Kluyveromyces lactis: one gene and its partner. The protein of the gene in region 1 purifies or fractionates together with the protein of each later gene. This does not show direct contact. Links are inferred from orthologs where the notes say so. Each region holds a gene or a part of one and is shown in the gene's direction. Other genes may lie near its edges.

Region 1 (3,763 bases):
ACGAGATTGTTTGAATTGCTTGATTACAAACCTACTATTAAATCAACTACCGGGAAGGCGTTTAAACCGTTAAATGGTAAAGTTGAGTTTCAGCATGTTTCTTTCAGTTACCCAACAAGAAAAACAAATCAAATCTTTAAGGATCTCAACTTTACAATAGAGCCAGGTTCTAATGTATGTATTGTAGGTCCATCAGGAAGAGGGAAATCTACAATTGCCTCGTTATTGTTGAGGTACTACAATCCAACATCCGGTAAAATCTTGGTTGATGGCCAAGATATTACAAAATTAAGTTCGAAATCCCTTAGAAGACAACTTGGTGTGGTACAACAAGAGCCAATATTAATGTCTGGTACTATAAGAGAGAATATTACATATGGTGTCTCTAGGCAACCTTCAATGGAAGAAATCAGATCTGTAGCAAAAAAGTGCTTCTGTCATGCTTTCATATCTAAATTCCCTAATGGTTACGAAACTATCATTGGGCCTCGTGGTGCTTTGCTCAGTGGAGGACAGAAACAACGTATTGCTATCGCTAGAGCGTTATTAAATAAACCTAAAATTTTGATTCTCGACGAAGCTACATCTGCCCTAGACGTTGAAAGTGAGGGCGCTATCAACTACACTTTGGGGAGGTTAATGAAGAGCAAAGAATTAACTATTATCAGCATTGCTCATAGATTGAGCACAATCAGAAGATCCGAGAATGTTATTGTACTTGGCATCGATGGTTCAGTTGTGGAAATGGGTAAGTTCAAAGATCTTTACGCCAACCATGATAGTGCTTTACACAAATTATTGACAGAACCTTCAGAACAGCAGCATTCCCAGCACCAACAATACGCTCCACCTGCCATAACTCAAGAATCTGAGCCACAAACAGAAGAAAATGGCAAAGATGATTCTGGTGAAGATCAAAATTCTGACCACGAAGAAAACTCACAAGATCAGAACGAGAAGAGACTGCAAGAAGAAGTTATACATCAAGTTTTAGAAGATATCAGTCACGATCAAAAAACTTCAACGCTCAGGCCATGAGTAATTGAAGAAATTTCCCACCTTCCTTTCTTACACTGCATAGGTATCTTACAAGTGCACCAGAGTTGGTACTATGTATTATTAACATATAAATATACACATAAACAACATACAAGGTACCAATCAAACAAATATATTAATATTCATATAATTTCAGCTCTCCATGGAAGTCATCTAAGCATTAATCTTTTGATGTTGCAAGCTTCCTGACCTCTACGTGCCTTATCTACCAAGCAACTTTTCCCGTTACTTCAAATGAAATCATCAATAATTAAGATTAGTTAAAATGTAAACAAAGGCATGGGGTTACGAAACGGAAAAACAGTAGGCGATAGAGAAGCAGAGATCCATTGTCCACACTAGGTGTGCTTCAGCAAGCTTCTATACTATGGCAGAGGAGCTGAAAGGATTTCCTCATGAGAGACTATCTATCTCATTGAGGAGTAATTCACAGCAATATCAAGATATTCTTTTGTTTTTTGATGATTATCAGTTTGATTTGGATAGCACCAACCAGCACTTGTGTAGTCTGGCAGAATTACTGTTAAAGTCTCATACACTGTTGGCAGAGCTGTTTTCTGATGATGTGAGCGTTTCTCAACTCTTACCGTATTTTGATTGGATTCAAGAGGGAAGATCTGAATTTTATCAGCTCTTCAACGGGATAAAGACCATCGAAAAGGTGTTGCTGCATCTGATGGAAATCATCGAAGAGGAATTTGGGTGTAATGAAGATGAACTATTCCAGAAGGAGTTGACTGCACTTTTTGATTTATTAGAGGAGATATCAGATACATTAGTGTCCATAAAACCAATCATCTCATCATTAAAAAACCTGTTCGACACCGCCATAGAGTTCAACGAAATATTCAAAGATCATATGAACAGTCTAGATGAAGAGATAGAAAACAATTTGTCTAAATGCATTGAACTTCAAGAGCAAAACTTTGAATCTCCTGTAAGACATAATAAACCTACTTTCACTTTGGATCAATTGATTAAAACTTTGTCTTCAACAAATTCTCCTACCAAAGGACTTCAGATCCCTGCCTTTTCTCCTTCAGAGCAAAAGATTCATGAAAAGCTTACACAGTTGGAAGATTCTTCGGCACCTATAGATTTGTCACTAAAACATGTCCTTTCAGAAAGATTAGATAACTTCGAGACCCGTGATGTTGTCAATTTGGAATATCTCATGCGATTGCTGCGAAAGAAATACCAATATATATTGGATAAGTATGAACTACTACAAGTTGAACTCAGAGACCTAAAGCAAGCAATTGTTGATGAGAAATGGGTTCTCATATTTACAACTTTGAATGACGAGCTACGGATTATGCTGAAAGATGTGGAGAAACTGCTGCTGAAGGTAGGCAACCCTGATCTTTCGGAGCAGCTGAAAACAAAACTGCATGATCAATTGAGAAGCAAATCGTACACTATTGATAAGACCTTCGGTATAATATACAATGCTCTTGAAAGCTCGATATTGAATGAATCAATTGCAACCGTTACCAACGAACATGCGGAAAAGTGGCTACAATTAAATACAAAATTTGAACACTTACTGCCGGAACACCAAAATGAAAATGATCCAAATAAAACTATCACACAGCTTTCCAATGACATCTCCGAGCTTCGGCTCAACGATGCACCATCTGAGAAGCCAGGTTCAAACAGGTCTAGTATTGGGGCGATATTATTTAAGAAAATGAATATCAAACCTGTCTTGGTAAGAGAAGGAGATGAAAATGATTCAAACAGCGATAATGTGAAATGTGACCGCCACAGATATTCCAATCCATTTTTTGATCCTTGCCAAGCTACTAAATTAAGTCCAAAAAAGGTACTTAACTTTAACAAAGTACCTGCTCTTTCTTTTGAACAACAACTGTCCATTTTGGGAACACTTGAATCCCGAGCATATGATATTAACAGATTGAAACAGTACGGTAAACTCCCGACACGCATCCCCAGACTTCCTTTCCAGAGACAGAAAATCATTCCACATCGTACTATTTTATTCAATTTCGATGCCAACTGGGTAAAAAAGGATAATCACCAACTGAAATTTCCCGTATCCTATGTATCTTAGTGCCTTCCGGACTAGCTCCAGATAGTCCATTCCATTGTAACACTATAAATACAATAATCAGGATAAACTAACTTTGTTAATAGGTAATTATCTAGCTTACATAATAAACCATACAAAAGTAGCTACTGACAAAATGCCTGACGTAATTAACAGGAATTATTTCACTCCATTAAAAATACTAAAGGGAATTCAGTTAAGGCTATTCAATACTTGAACAGTTCTCTTTGCGGTTGAACTAGCCGATGCTGGATTGACACCCGTAACTAACCTACCATCAGCAATCGAAAAATCATCCCATGGACCAATTGGGGCCATGTACTTTGCATGATACTTCTTAGCGATATCTTCCACAGTATCTAACTTCTTTTGTTTTAGTATATCGGCAACACCTAGGATTTCTTCACCAATATCGGTAAAACCAGTAATAACTTTACCTTGAATCAACGGTTTACCAGTATCTTTATCAGTCAAACCATCAAAGATTGCCGGACCATGGCAAACAGCAGCCACAACACCATTATTAGCATATATATCAGAGGCTATTTTTTGTAAATTCTTGGCAGTTGGATAATCGAATAACGTACCGTGGCCGGCAGAGGCAAAGAAGATTTTATAGGTGGATGGGTTAAC
Region 2 (3,047 bases), on another chromosome or scaffold:
AGATTCTGCAGCTACCACAACCGCCGAGGCTATTTCTGATGCCGATCGCGAGAGTGTTTTGAACGCCCATAATGAATACAGAGCTAGACACCAATCCACCAATCCATTAGTTTGGAATGAGGAATTAGCCGCATATGCTTACGATTACACTCAAACATTGTTCGGTAGCGACAACGATCCATGTAACTATAAGCTACAACACTCTGGTGGTCCGTATGGTGAAAACTTGGCTGCTGGTACTAACTCCGATCCAGCTGCCTTAGTTGGCTTGTGGTACGATGAAATCAACTACTATGACTACAACAATGTCACTGGTATCTCTCATAACGGTCATGATGTTGGTCACTTCACTCAATTGGTTTGGGCTGCTAGTACTGACGTCGGATGTTCTGTAACAAAATGTTCTTCCGGATCCGTCTACTTGATCTGTGAATACTCTCCAGCCGGTAATGTTAAGGTTGTTGGTGGCAATGACGCTTATGTGTTGTATAAGCAAAACGTCAAGCCGTTATTGGAGAGCAATTAGGAAACCCTGTCCAAAACTTGGATAACAAGATCTGATCGATAGCTCTTTTTATGATGGCCATATTAAACACACCTCGATAGAATTGAATAAACCCAACAGCTCCAACCTTCTTCGTTGAATGTATGTTTTCACATTGGTCTTTGCACCAAGTAAGAAAAAACAGCTATTCTATCGTACTCATTGCAACCATCCTTCTGGATTTACTCATGGCCCTGGAGGCACTTAGAATATACCAGTGTTCAAAAGAAACACCCTAATGAAACCTAACAAAAAAGCCATCACTAATCACTTCTTTATTACCTTTTACCTTGTTCTAGTTTTACCAGTTTACCAATTTTCTTTAATGATATAATTACTGTATTGTAGCTAACGTCCGGAAAGTTAAATAGTGAACATCATTTATGAATACAATTACGAATAACTACTTTAGGAACCAGAAGCGGCTAGTTCTATTGCTGTTCAGCAGAATATCATCGCATGAAGTTCGCCTTGCTTTTTCATTTCTTGTTTGGAAGTCAAGATTCACGTGAAGGAGTTTTCTGTTCTATTTACCTTTTGTCATAATAACAATATTTACAGTCAATAGGCAAAAAACTAAAATCCTTAATCTATGGAGATACGATAGTAACAGACCTGAGGTAACGTTTCCAAATACCTTAATTACCAGTATTTTCTCAGCCTTTCCTGATTTTTCTTTGGTTTGGTAAATTTTTAAAACGTATGCCCAAAACACCTTCGTTTCACATCCCAACGGTCTATTTCTAGTGATGGATAATCAAGACTGTATAGGACTGGTAATTGAAGTTCCTAACATAGGTAGAGGGCAAATACGGTACATTGGCTCAGTAGAAACAAAGAAAGGAACATTTGTTGGTATCAATTTGTTTGCTGGCAATGGAAAAAACGATGGAACTTTCAGAGGCAGACGGTATTTTGAGACTTCTTTCCCTCAAAGTGGACTTTTTATCCAATGGGAAAAGATCGCCAACTTGATCCCAATACCTTCTAACCCTGAGGCAAATATGACCATACCACCTGCATCACCTACTCCCGTAAGGATTAACGCAAATTTTTTAGGGTATCATGAACCTCTTCAAAACAGTTTTCCTGAAATCAAGTCGCGAACTAGTATTTCAAATGTCATTCAACCGAATGACGATCCGATGCAAACTACTTCCTCGGACTTAAAAATGTTACAAACAGAGCTAGTTCAATACAAAAGACTAGTAGAGGATCAACGAATTGTATTCGAGGAGATCCAAGCTGCAATTGATGAATATGAGACTAAGTTGGATACCACAGAAAAGGAGAAAGTTCTACTTCAAAACCAACTCGACCATGAAAGAACGTCCCATCAGCGCCAAAAGCAGTTTTATGAAAGTGAACATGATCAGCTTTTGACTGTGATAGACGAGCTCCAATCTGAGATAAACCGGAATGCTGCCATATTAGCCGAGATTATGCAGAAGGAAAAGAAAAATTCCCTTGAAAATGATTATGTTATGCAAGATGAACCGAACAGTGATGCCCTTTTAATTAACGATTTAAGGGAACAGATACTAGAACTACAGCAACACAAGACTCAAGCTGAATTGCATAGGGTCCAATGGGAGAAAGAGAAGGAGCAACTGCAATTCCGTAACCAGTCGTTATCAAAAGAATATAAAAATTTGACTACTGAGATGACAGAGTATCAACAGAAATCCCATGATACAGAGACAAAAGAGTATACTCTCAACAAGGAATTAGACGATGCAAGGAAAAAAATTGGGGAGCTCGAATCCCGAGTCGAAGAATTATCCAAAAAACAGGAAGAAAATACACTTATTGTGGACAGTAACATTGAAACCTTGCCGTTATACAATCCAGGTGCCGAAGTAAAGTCAACTTTAGTGAATGCAGCTGCAGGGCGCTCGTTGTGGTGTGCTCTTTGCGAAAAAGACGGTCATGAATCAGTAGATTGCCCATACGACGACAAATTCTTTTAGAGTCAAAATTCGTCCCTTTTAATATCCATTGTTGTACTTGCATCATATATATAGCATACTTAGCGCATCATCATATAATGAATCATCTTATAATGAATTACCTACAGTCCATCAATCGCATCCGGACTTCTTCTTCGAGTTTTCATTGGCTTTCCTGTGTTTTTTTCATCATATGACTCATGTAATTCAGTGCATATGCGTTCAATCATATTTTCACAATCCACTGCAAAAATCAAGCCTCCTGGTATATAAAAATGAAAATATGAAATATGAAAAAAAAATAAGTTAGTCGTCATGCTTTATCAAATTTCGTTACATTCAGGACTGTCCACCTAAGACAAGAAGTCATAAAGCACCAGAAATGTTGCCTGTTGTACCTGTGTTCAATGCTGTCAATGCGTTGAAAGAAAAGACTTACCTTTACTTATCCAGTCAATTAGTACTTGATGGGAAGGATATGACTAAAGATGATATTTTGGAATTTGTTCAGAATAGTCATGGTCAAAATATTTCTGTTCTATTGAAAGACGCAA

The links. Proteins that work in one complex are often made in the same cells at the same time.
Region 2: the proteins of KAR9 (region 1) and BIK1 purify together in Saccharomyces cerevisiae (affinity purification with mass spectrometry; 3 studies listed by BioGRID, with this or other methods). This does not show direct contact. The link is inferred for Kluyveromyces lactis from reciprocal best matches to the Saccharomyces cerevisiae genes KAR9 and BIK1.

What each region holds. Positions count from the first base shown.
Region 1 is NC_006040.1:67,114-70,876, reverse strand, and holds KAR9 (Kar9p), read left to right. Parts: upstream 1-1,426; coding exon 1,427-3,133; downstream 3,134-3,763. Other genes in the region: ATP-binding cassette permease MDL2, read left to right, coding at 1-1,038; KLLA0_D00704g (uncharacterized protein), read right to left, coding at 3,323-3,763. UniProt on the Saccharomyces cerevisiae protein: Involved in karyogamy. Component of a cortical adaptor complex that orients cytoplasmic microtubules. It may be involved in anchoring cytoplasmic microtubules to the cell cortex.
Region 2 is NC_006039.1:111,012-114,058, reverse strand, and holds BIK1 (Bik1p), read left to right. Parts: upstream 1-1,293; coding exon 1,294-2,514; downstream 2,515-3,047. Other genes in the region: KLLA0_C01496g (uncharacterized protein), read left to right, coding at 1-526; HIS4 (trifunctional histidinol dehydrogenase/phosphoribosyl-AMP cyclohydrolase/phosphoribosyl-ATP diphosphatase), read left to right, coding at 2,876-3,047. UniProt on the Saccharomyces cerevisiae protein: Required for nuclear fusion, chromosome disjunction, and nuclear segregation during mitosis. Probably required for the formation or stabilization of microtubules during mitosis and for spindle pole body fusion during conjugation.